Saccharomyces cerevisiae S288C: one gene and its partners. The gene in region 2 interacts genetically with the main gene of each other region. Each region holds a gene or a part of one and is shown on either strand. Other genes may lie near its edges. The genes, in order: RAP1, PPZ1, TOR2 and SMC3.

Region 1 (4,979 bases), on a different chromosome or scaffold from region 2:
CAAAGTCAGTAGAACTATATAGAGCTTGGAAGAAATTAAGGGCAATGATGAGCGAGAACATGTACAGTTTAGCAAGCAGTGAGATACCGATGCATATCAGAAATGCGCCAACCAAATTGATGGAGGAGCTGGGTTATCATAAAGGCTACAAGTACAATCCCGATTATATTGAAGGAAAAGTCCAACAAGACTACTTTCCCAAAGAAGTGCTCGAGAAATGTCCAAATAAAACTGACTTAAAGTTCCTGGACGGCAAACATTTAGGAGACAAAGAAGATCCTGACTTGAGACAGTCATATCAGGGTTAGTCAAGGGTCTTCCATACTTCTCTCAATGCCGCGTCTACAATTCATATTTTTTTCTCTGTTGGCCAATGCCGCTTGTTTTTTTACGCTTGAGGCGCATTGCATTGCTGGCACGTTTTTGTGCAGCATGAACGATATAAACTATAATTTTAGATAATCAAGGATCCACCTTTTTTTTTCATGCTAGAAAAGTCTCGCGGGCCCATCTGAGATATATTAGAACATATACGCATCCTATAAGAAGAGCACATTATTCTTGAATTAGTTCTTCCTTTTCCTCGACCTTCCAGCTTGTAAAATGAGCCAGGCTTGAGGAGCATAGATACGCAAAAATGGAAGATAAGCGGAAAAGACGAGCCGCTACACTTAGTACAGCATTGATATTATTTGTGGCATGCTGCGTTTATACACTATATATATTCAAGTTTGATAACCCTCGGTTGTCTCCACCAGTTTCCTTATTGCCTACAATTAGCACCTTGAAGAAAATTGAGCATGTAACAGATTTAAATAAGGAGTACGTTTTTGTTGGTGACGTTCATGGTAACTATGATGAGTTCATAGAACTCATTGATGACAAGATTGGAGGACTAGGAGAAAATATAACAATGATATTGCTGGGTGACTTTATTCACAAGGGCCCGGACTCAGACAAGGTCGTGTCGTATATTCTAAATCACAAGGATCAAGTCAAGTGCGTTTTGGGCAATCATGAAATATTGGTCATGATGGCCTATTTAAACCCAGACTTCTCGAAATGGGTAAGACGCCCCAAATTAATGACACCTTTAACTTTCAGTACGGAGACTAATTTCATACCACAAGACATCTCTAAAATCAGCAACGCACATGGACGGTTAGCTCGCGAACTTGGGTTTTCCAAATTAAGTCAGCTAGCGGAACATTGTTCTATGGCCATAGAACTAGATCTGGATATTACCGGTGATATACTCTTTGGTGCACATGCAGGGATGGTTCCGGGAGACTTCATGAAGCCCAACCAAATTCCGGGCGTGAGCTCTCTGTCAAACATGAAGTACGTTGATAAGAAGAACTGGTCAAAAACATCACGTGAAAAGGAAAACAAGAATTATGTGAGATGGTACACACTGTGGGACAAATACGGAGACCACTTTAGTAACGCCAAAGTATTTTACGGGCACGATGCATCCATGGGACTAAACCTACGGAGACAGACCAAAGGTTTGGACACAGCATGTATAAAGAACAATCTGCTTTCATCTATGAAAGTGAAGTACGATATTAAGAAGGGGCAATATGACTATGAATTAATTCAAGTACAATGCTCTTAAAACAAAAAGTACTACTTAAAAGCGCAACAGATTTTATATAATGTACTATATGAAAAAGATATGAATATTATTATGTAACTCATAATACTGAATCTTAAATTTCAATGAAACTTTCGCTGGAGCTACAAGTATTCTTGCCCAATGGCCGCTACCCGCCTCTTCTTCGTTGTTGAAGTTTTAAAATTTAGCGAGAAAAGAAAACAAAACCGAAAACAGACAACCGCAATCATTTCTTCAACACCCAACATCCAGCACCTAAACACCATCAATACACGTTTTAAACAAAACAAACCCATAGCCCAAAAGGTAGTAAACACAAACCGTTGTATACGCAACCGCCCTACATAAGACACTATTTGCGTACAGATTATCTCAATATGTCTAGTCCAGATGATTTTGAAACTGCACCAGCAGAATATGTTGATGCATTGGATCCGAGTATGGTCGTTGTTGACAGTGGTTCTGCTGCAGTCACAGCGCCATCGGATTCAGCCGCTGAGGTAAAAGCTAATCAAAACGAAGAAAACACTGGTGCTACTGCTGCTGAAACTAGTGAGAAAGTGGATCAGACGGAGGTCGAAAAGAAAGATGATGATGATACCACTGAAGTCGGTGTAACAACTACCACGCCTTCCATTGCTGATACTGCTGCTACCGCTAACATTGCTTCGACATCAGGTGCATCTGTTACTGAACCTACTACTGATGACACCGCTGCTGATGAGAAAAAGGAACAAGTAAGTGGTCCTCCTCTGTCAAATATGAAATTCTATCTTAATCGCGACGCGGATGCGCATGACTCTTTAAATGATATTGATCAATTAGCGCGTCTGATTAGAGCAAACGGTGGTGAAGTGCTAGACTCCAAGCCAAGAGAATCAAAAGAGAATGTTTTCATCGTGTCACCCTATAATCATACCAATTTACCAACGGTAACTCCGACTTATATTAAGGCATGTTGTCAAAGCAACTCGCTACTGAACATGGAAAATTATTTAGTACCATACGATAACTTTAGAGAAGTTGTCGATAGTAGGTTGCAGGAGGAATCGCATTCTAATGGTGTAGATAATAGCAATAGCAATAGCGATAACAAGGATTCTATCAGGCCCAAAACAGAAATAATCTCTACGAATACTAATGGCGCTACGGAAGACTCAACCAGCGAAAAAGTTATGGTAGACGCTGAACAACAAGCTAGATTACAAGAGCAAGCTCAGCTCCTTCGTCAACATGTAAGCAGCACCGCATCAATCACAAGCGGAGGGCACAATGACTTGGTCCAGATCGAACAACCTCAAAAAGATACCTCCAATAATAATAATAGCAACGTCAACGACGAAGACAATGATCTTTTGACACAGGACAACAACCCTCAAACAGCAGATGAGGGGAATGCATCTTTTCAAGCACAAAGGTCCATGATTTCGAGAGGCGCTTTGCCCTCCCACAATAAAGCTTCTTTTACAGATGAGGAAGATGAGTTTATTTTGGATGTTGTGAGAAAAAATCCAACCAGGCGTACAACACATACTCTTTACGATGAAATATCCCATTATGTGCCTAACCACACGGGTAATTCTATTAGGCACCGATTTAGAGTCTATCTTTCCAAAAGACTAGAGTACGTTTATGAGGTTGACAAGTTTGGTAAATTGGTTAGAGACGACGATGGAAATCTGATAAAGACTAAAGTTTTGCCACCATCAATTAAAAGGAAATTTTCAGCAGATGAAGATTACACTTTGGCAATCGCGGTCAAGAAGCAGTTTTATCGTGATTTGTTTCAAATCGACCCTGATACTGGAAGATCACTTATCACAGATGAGGATACACCCACTGCTATAGCGAGGAGGAATATGACAATGGATCCAAATCATGTGCCAGGGAGTGAACCCAACTTTGCAGCTTACAGAACCCAAAGCCGTAGGGGACCGATTGCACGAGAATTTTTCAAGCATTTTGCCGAAGAGCATGCAGCACATACTGAGAATGCTTGGAGAGATAGGTTTAGGAAGTTTCTTCTCGCTTACGGCATTGATGATTATATTAGTTATTATGAAGCTGAAAAAGCTCAGAATAGAGAGCCGGAACCGATGAAGAACCTCACCAATAGACCCAAGAGGCCTGGCGTTCCCACTCCTGGCAATTATAACTCTGCCGCCAAGAGGGCAAGAAATTATAGTTCTCAAAGAAATGTTCAGCCTACTGCCAATGCAGCGTCCGCTAATGCTGCTGCCGCTGCTGCTGCCGCTGCTTCCAACTCTTACGCTATACCAGAAAACGAATTACTGGACGAAGATACCATGAATTTCATTTCCAGTTTAAAGAATGATCTATCCAATATTTCAAATAGTTTGCCCTTTGAGTATCCACACGAGATTGCGGAAGCTATAAGAAGCGATTTTTCGAATGAAGATATATATGATAATATTGATCCTGATACCATAAGCTTTCCACCAAAAATTGCAACAACAGATCTTTTCCTGCCATTGTTCTTTCATTTTGGCAGTACGAGACAATTTATGGATAAACTTCATGAAGTTATTTCAGGAGATTATGAGCCATCACAGGCTGAAAAACTGGTACAGGATCTTTGCGATGAAACTGGTATACGTAAAAATTTCAGTACGAGCATATTGACGTGTTTATCCGGGGATCTGATGGTCTTTCCTCGCTATTTCTTGAACATGTTTAAGGACAATGTTAATCCTCCTCCCAACGTTCCTGGTATTTGGACACATGATGACGACGAATCGCTAAAAAGCAATGATCAAGAACAAATAAGGAAACTGGTTAAAAAGCATGGAACTGGTAGAATGGAAATGAGGAAAAGATTTTTTGAGAAGGACCTGTTATGAGTAATTGAATTAAGTAACATCATTGTTTAACTTATTTTACTCCTTTATTTCACTGATTCACGTTTTCTACTTTGTTTTTCAGTTCAATGTATAATTTATGTAAACTTTTACGTATTTTAATTTTCAAAATTCTTACAATGATTAAGGCGGAACAGTTTTATAGAATCCCATTAGCAAAAAAGAGAGAAGAAAAGGAGGAAAGTATAACGCAGAACGAAGATTCTCATTTTTAACGTGTCTTTTCTTCAAGGATAAAACGCCTAACTAGCAAATAACTGGCGATTAGCAGACTACAATGGACAGTGAAGCAAGTGACATTGAGGCAGAGTTATCCGACAGCGTCTCAGCTGGTGGGGAAGAATACATTGACGATGATGATTATACGGAAGATATTGACGATCAGATAGTCACAGCCAAATCATCTAGAAGAACAGCACGTAGGAGTGTACCTAAGGGTGTAAGAACCTCAAAACGCATTAGAGATAAAGAACTTTCTGTGG
Region 2 (4,535 bases):
GTCCATTTCCCCTTCAGTTGTTTTGAATTTTTTTTTTAAAAAAAATTCGTCTTTCTGATTAATCAATTTTGATTATATATTTTCTCTTGATTAGTTCACAATTTTTATAGGCCCTTATTTCTTAAAGAAGTTTTATGAAGTTTCGTAAGTATTGGGGGGGTTGAAAATAATCTCTCACGTTATACGCAATAAAAAATTAAAATTAAGGAGAACCAATCTATAGAAACGAACCATTGAATTTAGCTATATGACTATATACCATTACGTAATTTATATAAACAGCTTAATATAGCGAAAGCAAAGTAGAACGAAATTTCGGAGAGTTCTAGATTGTATAGAGCGAATGAGCATTCAATACACACGCGAAGGCAGTAGGCGATGAAAGGAAGTTTTTTAATGTCATTAAGAAAAAGATAGGGAACTTCTATTTCCTGTCTTTCATATATATATATATATATATATATATATATATGTGCATATGTACATCGTTGAGTTGTTCATGAAATAATGAATATAATACTTCTGGATTTTTTAGTCAGTAAATTTACTGTTGAGATTCGTTATCATTTGTGATGCTTGTTTCCATCATTTGCTGTTGTTGATTAGCCAGTTTTCTTTCCTGTCTACCTTTCTTCATAACTTGCTTCAAAGCTGCACTATCTAGTGGATCTAACAATTCAAAAGAGCACAATAAACCTTCGCTGACGCTCATTACAGCCCCCCAATTATCAAATTCACCACAATAATTTGGCGCGGAAAACACCGTAACGAGACTTCTATCATTGAAAAATTCATAACCGTCTTCCACAACCATGTGAGCTCTACAAACCAAATCAAACCCAAACTTGTTCAAGAATTTGTTAATTGCCACCTTATTATAACAGTAACTTACACCACGTTCGTTATCCTCCCATTCGTTGGGTGAATCTGTGGGATCGGACCACAAAAGATCATTAATTAAGCCAAAATCTGGTACATCAGTAGGCCTAACTACATGTCTGATTTCATCCATAGAATTTAAAACTGGCGACAATCCACCATGAACACAAAAAATCTTTCCGGCTACGATAGCAGCTAATGGTAATGTATTAAAAGTATCGATGAATGTCTTCCAGATCTTGATGTTACAACGACGTTTACATTCATCATAAAATCCATAAACCCTTGTGACGTTAGCACATTCATGGTTGCCTCTCAATAAAAAGAAATTTTCAGGGTATTTTATTTTGTAACAAAACAATAGTAAAATAGTCTCCAGTGACTGTTTACCACGGTCCACATAATCACCTAGGAATAAATAGTTCGAGGATGGTGGGAACCCACATTTGGTAAAAAGCCTTAAGAGATCCCCATATTGGCCATGAACGTCGCCTACAATTTTTACAGGAGGTGATAATTCTAATAAGGAAGGTTGAGAAAGAAAGATTTCACGAGCCTTGATGCAAATCTGTAAAATTTCATTGTTCTTCAAACAAACATTTTTTGTTCTCTTAGCAGCGTAGCCCGCATCCAGTAATTTTTGGATAGTTTCATCAATATCGATAGGCTTTTTGAATTTTTTTGGAGCGTTTTTGTTTCCGGAAGATTGCATTATATCATTAAATTCCTCATTCGGATCTTTTTTGCTATCTGTTATATTATTATTTTTATCATTAACATTTTCCATTGATGCATGGATATTACTCAATTGAGATGAATTTTCAATGTCATCATCATTGCTGATGTGTTTGCTCGGGTAAATATCGCGACTTGAATGGTGATTCAATGAGGAGGTTGAATTAGAGGTAAAGTATTCACCAGAGTGATCTGTTAGCTTGGACAAGCCTGGAGAGTTTAATGGGGTGCTGTATGCGGTATTACCATCTGATCCAAACGAAGATTTCCTACTGTGTAGCGAAGATGCATGAGAATTTGACCGGGTTAATGCCTGAACGAGATAATTCTCCTGATTGTTAGAGGAGTATGATCCATTGTTAGGCTCTTCATGGGTCACATCTGATTTCCTTCTTGACACTGATCCGCTTCTTATACTGGACGGACGAGAATTCGAAGATCTAGAAAACCTTTTAGTGTGCGAGATGTCGTTGTCTTTATCATCATTGTCATCATCGGTTAAGGCGTTCTCATAATAGGTAGATGAGTATGAAGATTTATGCTTGGATACGTGTGTGCTACTATTGTTTGTTTTTAAAATGGGTGACTTGGGTTCCATTTGGATCATTGAAGGTGGTAAATCAGCAGCAGCCTTAGTATTATAACTTGATCTTCTAGAAGTAGAAGGCCTCTTAGTAGAGGATGATGAAGGAGTAGTTAACAATTCGTTTTGAGAATTTGAATGCGAGTGTGAGCTAGATGGGAAATGGTAACGATTCGTGTGAGAGCTATGTCGTTGGTGATTAACCTCAAGATTGGGCTTTGATGGAGTGGAGGGATCAGGGACGTTTGAATTAGTATTCGTAGTGGACGAAGAAGGAAGAGATCGCCTTGATCTTGAAGATTTATTTGATTTTGCAGACTTCACAGAATGGGAAGTCTCGGTTCTCGACACTTGAGGACGAGGATTTCTCGAGGAGGAATTCGAATGTGAATCCTTTTTCGAAGATTTTGAACTTGAATTACCCATTTTGAAAAGGAAGGAAAGATAAGCAGAGAGTGGTTGATTTGTTGTTTTATGACAAAGCCTCTAGGGGAAAAGAAGCGACTATAACGATGAAATAAAAATAAAACGATAAAGAAAAGTATAATCAAATGTATTCCAAAGAAGTACTTTTATATATAATCTTTATATTTAACTTGAAAGAAAAAGATTTAACATGTATTGCCAAAACAAACAAAACTAATAATGGAAGCTATTGTATTGTGCTTTTATGTTACCCACCTGCCAATGGTTCACAAGAGAAAGCTGATTAACAGAATTAGAAGATCTGCAGTAATCGTTTTCTTTTTTTTTTTTTCATTAATTTATATGCTATCCTTTTAAAAATAGACATGTCATTTCAAACGACATGTTAAAAATTATATATATGTTTATATATAGATTGATATATGTTGGAGCCGTTGGACAATTATGGGCAGCTATCTGAACATGGATCCCTGCCCTTCTCCTTGAGTTCTCCAGTAAGCGTTAGGCAAAGTGTCCGACTGCAGACGGTAGAGTCTCCACGCCTCACGGATGTGTTCGGGCAATAAGGGACTGTTGTTATATTTCTCGATGCTTACATCTAGTTTGTTGAATTGGAGGACGAGCTTATTGTACTGCTCGATGAGTTGTAGCTTCAAGTCCTGTGAATTATGGTCTGATTGCTGTAAGGATTTGGACTGTAGCAACGAGTTGCCCAGCGTAGTTTCGCGCTTGTCTACTTCTTCATCGTCGAAGTAGAAATCAGGTTCGTCTTCGGGAACGCTATCGGATTGATAATCTTGCTTGTATTGCTGGTTTTCTATGATGGAGAAAGTCAATTTTTTTAGATATTTTTTCAATTTATAGCCTATTTTGGTCCTCTTATCAAACTCTATGCACATTTGACTTGTCAACCACTTATTCTTCACAATCATGGCCAATTCGATTATCTCACCAGCGTATATTTTTCCCACCGCTTGCAGAAAAACACGAATATTTTCACTTATAGTTTGATTAGCTACTGTGCTAGCCAGTTTTTTGACCTGGGTTTTGTTTAGGGATGTTCTATGGAAAACTTCAAACCGATTAGTTTGATCTTTATCCAAGTTGGTTACCAAGAGCTTGAATTGTTCGTCCTGCGCAAGTTTTTCATTTTCATCTTCGTTGGTATTGGTGTCTTCGTAATTGCTATTTTGTGTTTGCTGTTGTAAAATGTCTTGTGGAAAGATCAGGTTTTCTGGGACTTTGTTGATAGAGTCCGGGTCTTGCTGATTTATCCTGGTTTTCTGGTATTTGTATTTTGGATATTTATTTAATTGGTTGTTGATTGATGTACCACCCGTTCGCAGGTTTTGCAATTTCCACGTAACGTAGTCCTGGTCCTCACTGATGACTTGGTCAATCATTTGTTTTGTGGAAAAATAGTTTGCTATTGTCAGTATTGGCGGATAGTTCACTTTCGGGATGGTGTCCAAAGGACCTTGAGGTTCGGTCATCGTTGCGCTGTTGAAGCTCAAACTTACTTTGTGCTCTTCATTTATATGGATAATTATCTCTATATACCTCTTCTTGATTTTTCAATTTCTTTCAACTTTTCAGTCGAAGAAATGGGAATAAGAGAAAAAATTCGGTAATGAACTGAACAGAGATGAGGTCTCGAAGAGCCAAGAAATAAAAGGTTAAGAACCAACATGGAGATAAACCAAGCGGCTGAAAAAGAACAGGAGTATGTTCACAAAGTGTATAATGAGATAGCTCCGCATTTCTCGCAAACTAGATATAAGCCATGGCCCATAGTGACTCAGTTCTTGAAGACTCGCCCAATGGGTTCCATCGGTATCGACGTCGGGTGTGGCAATGGAAAGTACCTCGGAGTGAACCCTGATATATATATTATCGGTTCAGATCGCTCAGA
Region 3 (7,831 bases), on a different chromosome or scaffold from region 2:
GGTTCGACTATGACGGGTTAAAGAAATGCAGTAATATTAATTCATGGTATCCAAACATCCCCAGTATTAATTCATGGAATCCGAACCTCTTGAAAGAAATATCGTCTACGAAATTTGAGTCGAAACTTTTTGATTCCAACAAAGTCTCTGAATACTCTTTCAAAAACCTATCCATGGATGATGTTCGCTTAATTTATAAAAATATTCCAAAAGCTGGCTTTATCGAGGTATTTACTAACTTGTACAATTCCTTCAATGTCACTGCATATAGGCAAAAGGAATTGGAAATTCAATACTGCCAAAACCTGACATTTATTGAAAAAAAGAAATTATTACATCAATTGCGCATTAATGTTGCTCCTAAGTTAAGCTCCCCTGCAAAGGACCCATTTCTTTTTGGTTATGAAAAAGCTATGTGGAAGGATTTATCAAAATCTATGAACCAGACTACATTAGATCAAGTTACCAAGATTGTTCATGAAGAATATGTCGGAAAAATTATTGATCTGTCCGAAAGTTTGAAATACAGGAATTTTTCACTTTTCAACATTACTTTTGATGAAACTGGAACAACTCTAGATGATAACACAGAAGATTATACTCCTGCTAATACTGTTGAAGTAAATCCTGTGGATTTTAAATCAAATTTAAACTTTAGTAGCAACTCCTTTTTGGATTTAAATTCATATGGTTTAGACCTTTTTGCGCCAACTTTATCCGACGTTAACAGAAAGGGTATTCAAATGTTTGATAAGGACCCTATTATTGTATACGAGGACTATGCTTATGCCAAGTTACTTGAAGAAAGAAAGCGGAGGGAGAAGAAGAAGAAGGAGGAAGAGGAGAAGAAGAAGAAGGAAGAAGAGGAAAAGAAGAAGAAGGAAGAAGAAGAAAAGAAAAAGAAGGAAGAGGAAGAGAAGAAAAAGAAGGAAGAAGAAGAGAAGAAAAAGAAGGAAGAAGAAGAAAAGAAGAAGCAGGAGGAAGAGGAGAAAAAGAAGAAGGAAGAAGAAGAGAAGAAGAAGCAGGAAGAAGGAGAAAAGATGAAGAATGAAGATGAAGAAAATAAGAAGAATGAAGATGAAGAAAAGAAGAAGAACGAAGAAGAGGAAAAAAAGAAGCAGGAAGAGAAAAACAAGAAGAATGAAGATGAAGAAAAGAAGAAGCAGGAAGAGGAAGAAAAGAAGAAGAACGAAGAAGAGGAAAAAAAGAAGCAGGAGGAGGGGCACAGCAATTAAAAGTCGGAGAACCTGACTGAAAATTCATGAATCTCTTCATTTCTATAGCCTTTCCTCTATGCATTTGTATTATATATTTATTACCGTCATTTTTTACATACTGCTGCATTTTGGCGCCAGTGATAAGTGGCAAACAATTCGACGGAATCGTGGTAATTATACCACGTTACTCTATAACATCATGATATTGCAATTAATCAAACATACATTTAATCTTAATGCTATTAGCTTACTACAACTCTTTTCTTTAAGTTATATCGTATATTTCTTGGGCGATGTCAGAATATTTACCCGGATATTCCTTTTTAAGCACTGAATATGTTTGAATAGAGACTGACATATATGGCAGCAATTAAAATTGGAAGAAATGTAATGACAGTAGGAAAGACCAATTTTTATCATCGTGACACCAATCACTTCCTTAACTGAGCTTTACTTGTATTTATTTACAGGTAGATTAGGAGCAGTAGAAAGGGAAAATATACCGGGTGCATAAAGAGCATAGTCATTAAGATCAAATAGTTATCTTTCTCAAAGAGATTTCTGATCTTTACTTTCCCCATATGAAAAATGAATAAATACATTAACAAATACACCACGCCACCTAACTTATTGTCTTTACGACAAAGGGCCGAAGGCAAACACAGAACAAGAAAGAAACTTACACACAAATCGCACTCCCACGATGATGAGATGTCAACTACTTCAAACACAGATTCCAATCACAATGGGCCCAATGACTCTGGTAGAGTGATCACTGGTTCTGCTGGTCATATTGGTAAAATATCCTTTGTAGATTCAGAACTAGATACAACATTTTCTACTTTAAATTTGATTTTTGATAAACTTAAAAGCGATGTGCCACAAGAACGAGCCTCTGGCGCTAATGAATTAAGCACTACTTTGACCTCATTAGCAAGGGAAGTATCTGCTGAGCAATTTCAAAGGTTTAGCAACAGTTTAAACAATAAGATATTTGAACTTATTCACGGGTTTACTTCAAGTGAGAAGATAGGTGGTATTCTTGCTGTTGATACTCTGATCTCATTCTACCTGAGTACAGAGGAGCTGCCAAACCAAACTTCAAGACTGGCGAACTATTTACGTGTTTTAATTCCATCCAGTGACATTGAAGTTATGAGATTAGCGGCTAACACCTTAGGTAGATTGACCGTGCCAGGTGGTACATTAACATCAGATTTCGTCGAATTTGAGGTCAGAACTTGCATTGATTGGCTTACTCTGACAGCAGATAATAACTCATCGAGCTCTAAGTTGGAATACAGGAGACATGCTGCGCTATTAATCATAAAGGCATTAGCAGACAATTCACCCTATCTTTTATACCCTTACGTTAACTCTATCTTAGACAATATTTGGGTGCCATTAAGGGATGCAAAGTTAATTATACGATTAGATGCCGCAGTGGCATTGGGTAAATGTCTTACTATTATTCAGGATAGAGACCCTGCTTTGGGAAAACAGTGGTTTCAAAGATTATTTCAAGGTTGTACACATGGCTTAAGTCTCAATACGAATGATTCAGTGCATGCTACTCTGTTGGTATTTCGAGAATTACTCAGCTTGAAAGCACCTTATCTCAGGGATAAATATGATGATATTTACAAATCTACTATGAAGTACAAGGAATATAAATTTGATGTTATAAGGAGAGAAGTTTATGCTATTTTACCTCTTTTAGCTGCTTTTGACCCTGCCATTTTCACAAAGAAATATCTCGATAGGATAATGGTTCATTATTTAAGATATTTGAAGAACATCGATATGAATGCTGCAAATAATTCGGATAAACCTTTTATATTAGTTTCTATAGGTGATATTGCATTTGAAGTTGGTTCGAGCATTTCACCCTATATGACACTTATTCTGGATAATATTAGGGAAGGCTTAAGAACGAAATTCAAAGTTAGAAAACAATTCGAGAAGGATTTATTTTATTGCATTGGTAAATTAGCTTGTGCTTTGGGCCCAGCTTTTGCTAAGCACTTGAACAAAGATCTTCTTAATTTGATGTTAAACTGTCCAATGTCCGACCATATGCAGGAGACTTTAATGATCCTTAACGAGAAAATACCCTCTTTGGAATCTACCGTTAATTCGAGGATACTAAATTTACTGTCGATATCCTTATCTGGTGAAAAATTTATTCAATCAAACCAATACGATTTTAATAATCAATTTTCCATTGAAAAGGCTCGTAAATCAAGAAACCAAAGTTTCATGAAAAAAACTGGTGAATCTAATGACGATATTACAGATGCCCAAATTTTGATTCAGTGTTTTAAAATGCTGCAACTAATTCATCATCAATATTCCTTGACGGAGTTTGTTAGGCTTATAACCATTTCTTACATTGAGCATGAGGATTCGTCTGTCAGAAAATTGGCAGCATTAACGTCGTGTGATTTATTTATCAAAGACGATATATGTAAACAAACATCAGTTCATGCTTTACACTCGGTTTCTGAAGTGCTAAGTAAGCTATTAATGATCGCAATAACTGATCCGGTTGCAGAAATTAGATTGGAAATTCTTCAGCATTTGGGGTCAAATTTTGATCCTCAATTGGCCCAACCAGACAATTTACGCCTACTTTTCATGGCGCTGAACGATGAGATTTTTGGTATTCAATTGGAAGCTATCAAAATAATAGGCAGATTGAGTTCTGTCAACCCCGCTTATGTAGTTCCTTCTTTGAGGAAAACTTTACTGGAACTATTAACGCAATTGAAGTTCTCAAATATGCCAAAAAAAAAGGAGGAAAGTGCAACTCTATTATGTACGCTGATAAATTCCAGCGATGAAGTAGCGAAACCTTATATTGATCCTATTCTAGACGTCATTCTTCCTAAATGCCAGGATGCTTCATCTGCCGTAGCATCCACCGCTTTAAAGGTTTTGGGTGAACTATCTGTTGTTGGAGGAAAAGAAATGACGCGTTACTTAAAGGAATTGATGCCATTGATCATTAACACATTTCAGGACCAATCAAACTCTTTTAAAAGAGATGCCGCCTTAACAACATTAGGACAGCTGGCTGCTTCCTCTGGTTATGTTGTTGGCCCTTTACTAGACTACCCAGAGTTACTTGGCATTTTGATAAATATTCTTAAGACTGAAAACAACCCTCATATCAGGCGTGGAACTGTTCGTTTGATTGGTATATTAGGCGCTCTTGATCCATATAAGCACAGAGAAATAGAAGTCACATCAAACTCAAAGAGTTCAGTAGAGCAAAATGCTCCTTCAATCGACATCGCATTGCTAATGCAAGGGGTATCTCCATCCAACGATGAATATTACCCCACTGTAGTTATCCACAATCTGATGAAGATATTGAATGATCCATCGTTGTCAATCCATCACACGGCTGCTATTCAAGCTATTATGCATATTTTTCAAAACCTTGGTTTACGATGTGTCTCCTTTTTGGATCAAATTATTCCAGGTATCATTTTAGTCATGCGTTCATGCCCGCCGTCCCAACTTGACTTTTATTTTCAGCAACTGGGATCTCTCATCTCAATTGTCAAGCAACATATTAGGCCCCATGTCGAGAAAATTTATGGTGTGATCAGGGAGTTTTTCCCGATCATTAAACTACAAATCACAATTATTTCTGTCATAGAATCGATATCTAAGGCTCTGGAAGGTGAGTTTAAAAGATTTGTTCCCGAGACTCTAACCTTTTTCCTTGATATTCTTGAGAACGACCAGTCTAATAAAAGGATCGTTCCGATTCGTATATTAAAATCTTTGGTTACTTTTGGGCCGAATCTAGAAGACTATTCCCATTTGATTATGCCTATCGTTGTTAGAATGACTGAGTATTCTGCTGGAAGTCTAAAGAAAATCTCCATTATAACTTTGGGTAGATTAGCAAAGAATATCAACCTCTCTGAAATGTCATCAAGAATTGTTCAGGCGTTGGTAAGAATTTTGAATAATGGGGATAGAGAACTAACAAAAGCAACCATGAATACGCTAAGTTTGCTCCTTTTACAACTAGGTACCGACTTTGTGGTCTTTGTGCCAGTGATTAACAAGGCGTTATTGAGGAATAGGATTCAGCATTCAGTGTACGATCAACTGGTTAATAAATTACTGAACAATGAATGCTTGCCAACAAATATCATATTTGACAAGGAGAACGAAGTACCTGAAAGGAAAAATTATGAAGACGAAATGCAAGTAACGAAATTACCGGTAAACCAAAATATCCTAAAGAATGCATGGTATTGTTCTCAACAGAAGACCAAAGAAGATTGGCAAGAATGGATAAGAAGGCTATCTATTCAGCTTCTAAAGGAATCACCTTCAGCTTGTCTACGATCCTGTTCGAGTTTAGTCAGCGTTTATTATCCGTTGGCGAGAGAATTGTTTAATGCTTCATTCTCAAGTTGCTGGGTTGAGCTTCAAACGTCATACCAAGAGGATTTGATTCAAGCATTATGCAAGGCTTTATCATCCTCTGAAAACCCACCCGAGATTTATCAAATGTTGTTAAATTTAGTGGAATTTATGGAGCACGATGACAAACCATTGCCTATCCCAATCCATACATTAGGTAAGTATGCCCAAAAATGTCATGCTTTTGCGAAGGCACTACATTACAAAGAGGTAGAATTCTTAGAAGAGCCGAAAAATTCAACAATCGAGGCATTGATTAGCATTAATAATCAACTTCACCAAACTGATTCTGCTATTGGTATTTTGAAGCATGCGCAACAACACAATGAATTGCAGCTGAAGGAAACTTGGTATGAAAAACTTCAACGTTGGGAGGATGCTCTTGCAGCATATAATGAGAAGGAGGCAGCAGGAGAAGATTCGGTTGAAGTGATGATGGGAAAATTAAGATCGTTATATGCCCTTGGAGAGTGGGAAGAGCTTTCTAAATTGGCATCTGAAAAGTGGGGCACGGCAAAACCCGAAGTGAAGAAGGCAATGGCGCCTTTGGCTGCCGGCGCTGCCTGGGGTTTGGAGCAATGGGATGAAATAGCCCAGTATACTAGCGTCATGAAATCGCAGTCTCCAGATAAAGAATTCTATGATGCAATTTTATGTTTGCATAGGAATAATTTTAAGAAGGCGGAAGTTCACATCTTTAATGCAAGGGATCTTCTAGTTACTGAATTGTCAGCTCTTGTTAATGAAAGCTACAATAGAGCATATAATGTTGTTGTTAGAGCGCAGATTATAGCAGAGTTGGAGGAAATCATCAAATATAAGAAGTTGCCACAAAATTCAGATAAACGTCTAACTATGAGAGAAACTTGGAATACCAGATTACTGGGCTGTCAAAAAAATATTGATGTGTGGCAAAGAATTCTGCGTGTCAGATCATTGGTGATAAAGCCAAAGGAGGATGCTCAAGTGAGGATTAAGTTTGCCAACTTATGCAGAAAATCGGGTAGGATGGCGCTAGCTAAAAAAGTCTTAAATACATTGCTTGAAGAAACAGATGACCCAGATCATCCTAATACTGCTAAGGCATCCCCTCCAGTTGTTTATGCACAACTGAAGTACTTGTGGGCTACGGGGTTGCAAGATGAGGCTTTGAAGCAATTAATTAATTTCACATCTAGAATGGCTCATGATTTAGGTTTGGATCCAAATAATATGATAGCTCAAAGCGTTCCTCAACAAAGCAAAAGAGTCCCTCGTCACGTTGAAGATTATACTAAGCTTTTAGCTCGTTGTTTCTTGAAGCAAGGAGAATGGAGAGTTTGCTTACAGCCTAAATGGAGATTGAGCAATCCAGATTCGATCCTAGGCTCCTATTTGCTCGCTACACATTTTGACAACACATGGTACAAAGCGTGGCATAACTGGGCACTGGCCAATTTTGAAGTCATTTCTATGCTAACATCTGTCTCTAAAAAGAAACAGGAAGGAAGTGATGCTTCCTCGGTAACTGATATTAATGAGTTTGATAATGGCATGATCGGCGTCAATACATTTGATGCTAAGGAAGTTCATTACTCTTCTAATTTAATACACAGGCACGTAATTCCAGCAATTAAGGGTTTTTTTCATTCCATTTCTTTATCAGAATCAAGCTCTCTTCAAGATGCATTAAGGTTATTAACTTTATGGTTTACTTTTGGTGGTATTCCAGAAGCAACCCAAGCTATGCACGAGGGTTTCAACCTAATCCAAATAGGCACATGGTTAGAAGTGTTGCCACAGTTAATTTCTAGAATTCATCAACCCAATCAAATTGTTAGTAGGTCATTACTCTCCCTATTATCTGATCTAGGTAAGGCTCATCCGCAGGCATTAGTGTACCCCTTAATGGTTGCGATTAAATCCGAATCTCTCTCACGACAGAAAGCAGCTTTGTCCATCATAGAAAAGATGAGAATACATAGTCCAGTTTTGGTCGACCAGGCTGAACTTGTCAGCCACGAATTGATACGTATGGCGGTGCTTTGGCATGAGCAATGGTATGAGGGTCTGGATGACGCCAGTAGGCAGTTTTTTGGAGAACATAATACCGAAAAAATGTTTGCTGCTTTAGAGCCTCTGTACGAAATGCTGAAGAGAGGACCGGAAACTTTGAGGGAAATATC
Region 4 (6,023 bases), on a different chromosome or scaffold from region 2:
AATTGTTTCTGTAATAATCGGAAGTTCTTCATCACGTATGGATTGGTCGACTCTGAGAGGCCGTTATCTTGGAAAAATTTGTTTATCTGGTCATATAATTGCTTTTTGAACTGTGAATGAGGTTTAGACCTACTTTTATTAAGTATTGAGTTTACCATATACATCAGCAAATGAGGATTGGAATTCCATACATCACTCAATACCGTCTCAGGTAAAGGTTTTTGCTCGGACTTAGCATCCTGATAGTGTTTCCATGTTTCTAGTGTTAGTGAATGCCTCAAACTCTTTTTACAGAACGGCGCAGCCAGTTTAGCTCTCTTGACGTCCGGACTCATGCTAGAAGCCTGACAAAGAATGGAATCAATGTATACTAGATAATCGGTATGATAGTATGATTTTGGTTTGACAAAACCATCGGTTATTGGGGGATCTTCGAATAAATTTTTTGCCAAAGGTCTCGACAGTTGAACGTCTTCTATCAATTGTTTGATAATTTCCTCTAAAAAGAAGTAGTTGTTTTTAAAGTTTGTATCTTTGTTAAGAATTTTCATTGGTGTAATAAATGGCTTCTTATCCTTCAAATAAAATTCAATAATTCTATCCCAACTTCTAAACTTTTTGTTCTCAAATGCATATGTTGCTGGATCCAGGATCTGTCTTTTTGATGGATTCACCTTGTTCAATTTGGAAATAGTCAGGCTTAGTTTTTTACATTTATCATAGTCCATATCAATGGAAAGGCATTTTCTTATATTGAACGACGCATCTGAGTTAAGTACAAAGGTCTGTAAAACAGATATGACATAATGAATCGAAAGTCTTGTATCTATGCTTAAGCTAGCCAAATGCTTGTCGAGGATTGTTTCGTAATCCAAAATGATAGCAGCAGCTAACGAAACGTCAATTTCTTCAGCTAGTTTGTGAAAAAGAACATCGATGTGCGTGGAGAGGACGTTAACATCGTACGGCGTTATGCGTAGCAGCTCAGAAATATCTTCCTCCACAGAAACGTCTTTGGATGATATTTTGTTTCTGATGGTTTCATTCAAGGACAGATATTTCGCATACTGATCATCCTTCTGATGCACCTTGTCCCACATCCCAAAATCGACATACAGCTCTTGTAGCCTCTTTTCCGCCAGCTTCCCAAAAGAACCTTTGTAAGTTTCATTAAAAACGATTTTTTCAAATGTGTTAATAGCTCTTAGATGTTGATCGTTGGATAATTGGATCAGCCCAATTTTGTAGTATATTTGATTGGCTAGTTGAATTACGTCTGACATATTTTCACTTGCTGGATCCGCAGTCATGCAGTTTTGTTCCAACTGCCCAGCGATCCATTGGTATTTTGGCAAGGATTCAGTGTCTACTTTTAAATTCTTGTTCAATCGTTGTAACTCAGCCAAATCACATAACTTAGAAGCCGATATCAGTACTGGCAAAATAACGCTATACACTAAAAGACAGTATCCCGAGATCAGTATCATACTTCGTTTCGTAGACGTTAAGATCGGCCTTAGTAATACACTAAACCAACAATGAATGAAACCTTCTGGGCCCTTCTCGCAACCAACTCCTTTCACTTGGAATAACTTATAAGCAGTTTTGGCTCTATTTTTGCCTGCCATCGAAGTGTACACCTGTCACATTTCACTATTAGGAACCTAAAGAAAAAAAGTCTCAGGAATAGGAAAAGACGCGACGCGTTAGGAAATGATTAAACTAATTAAAGATGAGTTTTCAACCTCATCTTTAAACAGTTTCACCATTTTTTTACAAGACGACCTGCTGGAGTAACGGTAATAGTTCACGTCTGCAATGTATATCAAAAGGGTGATAATTAAGGGTTTTAAAACCTACAGGAACGAAACCATTATTGATAATTTCTCGCCGCATCAGAATGTTATTATTGGCTCCAATGGTTCAGGTAAATCGAATTTCTTCGCTGCGATTAGATTTGTTCTTAGTGACGATTACTCTAATCTTAAGAGGGAAGAAAGGCAAGGGCTTATCCACCAAGGTTCTGGTGGTTCAGTGATGAGTGCCTCGGTAGAAATTGTGTTCCACGATCCAGATCATTCTATGATATTGCCCTCCGGTGTACTTTCGAGAGGAGATGACGAAGTGACCATTAGAAGAACAGTAGGGCTGAAGAAGGATGACTATCAATTAAATGACAGAAACGTGACCAAAGGGGACATAGTCAGAATGTTGGAAACCGCTGGTTTTTCAATGAATAATCCGTATAATATAGTACCACAAGGTAAAATAGTCGCCTTAACTAATGCCAAGGATAAGGAAAGATTGCAGTTATTGGAAGATGTTGTAGGAGCTAAGTCATTTGAAGTAAAATTGAAAGCTTCATTGAAAAAAATGGAGGAAACAGAGCAGAAAAAGATTCAAATTAACAAGGAAATGGGTGAACTAAACTCTAAATTGAGTGAAATGGAACAGGAACGTAAGGAATTAGAGAAATACAACGAGTTGGAACGCAACAGAAAGATCTACCAGTTCACATTGTATGATCGAGAATTAAATGAGGTTATCAATCAAATGGAAAGACTGGACGGTGATTATAATAACACGGTATACTCTTCCGAACAATACATCCAGGAGTTGGATAAAAGAGAGGATATGATTGACCAAGTCTCCAAAAAGCTATCAAGTATTGAAGCTTCACTGAAGATCAAAAATGCGACTGATTTACAACAGGCAAAACTACGGGAATCTGAGATTTCTCAGAAATTAACAAACGTCAACGTAAAAATAAAGGATGTTCAACAGCAAATTGAGTCAAATGAGGAGCAGAGAAATTTGGATAGTGCAACTTTGAAAGAGATCAAATCTATAATTGAGCAAAGGAAACAAAAGTTGTCTAAAATTTTACCTAGATATCAAGAACTCACAAAGGAAGAAGCAATGTACAAACTTCAATTGGCCTCCTTGCAACAAAAGCAGAGAGATCTTATCTTAAAGAAAGGAGAATATGCCCGTTTTAAATCAAAGGATGAACGCGATACGTGGATTCATTCAGAAATTGAAGAACTGAAATCTTCAATACAAAACTTAAATGAACTGGAAAGTCAATTGCAAATGGATCGTACTTCTTTAAGGAAGCAGTACTCTGCGATTGATGAAGAGATTGAAGAGCTAATTGATTCTATCAATGGACCAGATACCAAGGGTCAATTAGAAGATTTTGATTCGGAATTAATACACCTCAAACAGAAGCTGAGTGAAAGTTTAGACACTCGTAAGGAATTGTGGAGAAAGGAGCAAAAATTACAGACAGTCTTGGAAACTTTATTAAGTGACGTCAATCAAAATCAAAGAAATGTTAATGAAACCATGAGTAGATCATTGGCAAATGGTATAATAAATGTGAAAGAAATTACAGAAAAACTAAAAATATCACCGGAATCTGTCTTTGGGACATTAGGTGAACTGATTAAAGTCAATGATAAGTACAAGACATGTGCTGAAGTAATTGGAGGTAACTCCCTCTTCCACATTGTCGTGGATACCGAAGAAACGGCCACTTTGATTATGAACGAACTATATCGTATGAAGGGTGGGAGAGTGACGTTTATTCCCTTGAACAGGTTATCTTTGGACAGTGATGTTAAATTCCCCTCAAACACTACTACACAAATCCAGTTTACTCCCTTGATAAAGAAGATAAAATATGAACCCAGGTTTGAGAAGGCTGTCAAACACGTTTTTGGAAAAACTATTGTTGTCAAAGACTTAGGTCAAGGTTTAAAATTAGCTAAGAAACACAAACTCAATGCCATCACTTTAGATGGTGATAGAGCAGACAAAAGAGGTGTACTTACAGGTGGGTATCTTGACCAGCACAAACGAACACGTTTGGAATCATTGAAAAACTTAAATGAATCAAGAAGTCAACACAAAAAAATACTGGAAGAATTAGATTTCGTAAGAAATGAACTAAATGATATTGATACTAAGATTGATCAAGTAAACGGGAATATAAGAAAGGTTTCTAATGACAGGGAGTCTGTCTTAACAAATATCGAGGTATATAGAACATCGCTAAACACCAAAAAGAATGAAAAATTAATTCTCGAAGAATCATTAAACGCAATTATACTAAAACTAGAAAAGCTGAATACAAATCGTACATTTGCTCAGGAAAAGCTAAATACATTCGAAAATGATTTGCTTCAGGAGTTTGATAGCGAACTCTCAAAAGAAGAAAAGGAAAGATTAGAATCTTTAACAAAGGAGATTAGTGCAGCGCACAATAAGCTAAATATTACATCAGACGCCCTAGAAGGTATAACTACAACCATTGACTCGTTGAATGCCGAATTGGAGTCCAAACTTATCCCACAAGAAAATGATCTAGAATCCAAGATGTCAGAAGTAGGTGACGCATTTATTTTTGGTCTACAAGATGAGTTGAAAGAATTACAATTGGAGAAGGAAAGCGTTGAAAAGCAGCATGAAAACGCTGTGTTGGAACTAGGTACCGTTCAAAGAGAAATTGAAAGTCTCATTGCTGAAGAAACTAATAATAAGAAACTGCTAGAAAAAGCAAACAATCAACAGCGATTACTATTAAAGAAGCTTGACAATTTCCAAAAAAGTGTTGAAAAAACGATGATTAAGAAAACAACTTTGGTTACTAGAAGAGAAGAATTACAGCAAAGGATTAGGGAAATTGGGCTTCTGCCAGAGGATGCTTTAGTAAATGATTTTAGCGACATCACAAGTGATCAGCTATTACAAAGACTGAATGATATGAACACAGAGATTTCTGGTTTGAAGAATGTAAACAAGAGAGCTTTTGAAAACTTCAAAAAGTTTAACGAAAGACGCAAAGACCTTGCGGAGAGAGCTTCAGAGCTGGATGAATCTAAAGACTCAATTCAAGATCTAATTGTTAAGTTAAAACAACAAAAGGTTAACGCGGTTGATTCTACTTTCCAAAAGGTTTCTGAAAACTTTGAAGCTGTTTTTGAAAGATTAGTTCCCAGAGGTACTGCTAAGTTGATTATTCACCGTAAGAATGATAACGCTAACGACCATGATGAAAGTATTGATGTTGACATGGATGCAGAATCCAATGAAAGCCAAAACGGTAAAGATAGTGAAATTATGTATACAGGTGTTTCAATTTCTGTTTCCTTCAATTCTAAACAAAACGAACAACTGCATGTTGAACAGCTCTCAGGTGGTCAGAAGACTGTATGTGCCATTGCTTTGATTCTGGCAATCCAAATGGTTGACCCTGCTTCCTTCTATCTGTTTGATGAAATTGATGCTGCACTCGACAAGCAGTATAGAACTGCAGTCGCTACACTTCTAAAAGAACTGTCAAAAAATGCCCAGTTTATTTGTACGACGTTCAGAACAGATATGTTGCAAGTTGCAGACAAATTTTTCCGTGTTAAGTACGAGAATAAGATTTCCACGGTTATTGAGGTCAATAGAGAAGAAGCAATCGGATTCATTAGAGGTAGCAATAAATTCGCTGAAGTCTAAGAGATATTTGAAACGATTTGTATATAAAAATATCAGTTTTGCTTACATAAATAGCTATTTGTATGTAATTATTACCATTGTCTCCTATATTGGAATTTTAAAAAATTTTCTTTTAAGATGATACTGTTACTAAACAATAATGTTAAATATAGTAACCAAGCTTTGATAATTCGACGTACAAAAAAGATTACTTTTCTTAAAGAAGTTGCCCGCTTGCTGGGAAAAGAGGTAAATAAGAATTGGTTTACATGAAGATTTTTTAATATATTAATACTTTTATATGCTTGATTATTTTTTTTTACTAGCTTTCTGTGACGTGTATTCTACTGAGACTTTCTGGTATCATTTTTTCTTGAAATCTTTTATTAATGATGCAAATCCACCACTTGGCTTCTTCTTCTTACCTAAAGCAGCACTAGCGGATTTCGCACTAATAAAACTTTTTCCATCATCAGATGAATCCCCTGAGTCATCAGAATCTGACTCAGATTTAGAATCTGAACTGGAATCCG

The links.
Region 1: mutations in PPZ1 (region 2) and RAP1 together harm fitness less than expected from each alone (positive genetic interaction), as found in Saccharomyces cerevisiae (2 studies listed by BioGRID).
Region 3: mutations in PPZ1 (region 2) and TOR2 together harm fitness more than expected from each alone (negative genetic interaction), as found in Saccharomyces cerevisiae (2 studies listed by BioGRID).
Region 4: mutations in PPZ1 (region 2) and SMC3 together harm fitness more than expected from each alone (negative genetic interaction), as found in Saccharomyces cerevisiae (2 studies listed by BioGRID).

The regions. Positions count from the first base shown.
Region 1 is NC_001146.8:239,694-244,672, forward strand, and holds RAP1 (DNA-binding transcription factor RAP1), read left to right. Parts: upstream 1-1,995; coding exon 1,996-4,479; downstream 4,480-4,979. Other genes in the region: ssDNA-dependent ATPase MGS1, read left to right, coding at 1-308; PPN2 (putative serine/threonine-protein phosphatase), read left to right, coding at 638-1,618; IES2 (Ies2p), read left to right, coding at 4,775-4,979. UniProt on the Saccharomyces cerevisiae protein: Essential regulatory protein in yeast whose DNA-binding sites are found at three types of chromosomal elements: promoters, silencers, and telomeres.
Region 2 is NC_001145.3:238,914-243,448, forward strand, and holds PPZ1 (salt homeostasis regulator), read right to left. Parts: upstream 2,624-4,535; coding exon 545-2,623; downstream 1-544. Other genes in the region: TATA-binding protein-associated factor TAF11, read right to left, coding at 3,076-4,116; TRM9 (tRNA (carboxymethyluridine(34)-5-O)-methyltransferase), read left to right, coding at 4,312-4,535. UniProt on the Saccharomyces cerevisiae protein: Essential for the maintenance of cell size and integrity in response to osmotic stress.
Region 3 is NC_001143.9:57,334-65,164, reverse strand, and holds the start of TOR2 (phosphatidylinositol kinase-related protein kinase TOR2), read left to right. Parts: upstream 1-1,805; coding exon 1,806-7,831. Other genes in the region: MNN4 (Mnn4p), read left to right, coding at 1-1,235. UniProt on the Saccharomyces cerevisiae protein: Phosphatidylinositol 3-kinase homolog, component of both TORC1 and TORC2. TORC1 regulates multiple cellular processes to control cell growth in response to environmental signals. Nutrient limitation and environmental stress signals cause inactivation of TORC1.
Region 4 is NC_001142.9:298,645-304,667, reverse strand, and holds SMC3 (cohesin subunit SMC3), read left to right. Parts: upstream 1-1,818; coding exon 1,819-5,511; downstream 5,512-6,023. Other genes in the region: JEM1 (Jem1p), read right to left, coding at 1-1,487; APQ13 (Apq13p), read left to right, coding at 5,792-6,023; NET1 (Net1p), read right to left, coding at 5,854-6,023. UniProt on the Saccharomyces cerevisiae protein: Involved in chromosome cohesion during cell cycle and in DNA repair. Central component of cohesin complex. The cohesin complex is required for the cohesion of sister chromatids after DNA replication.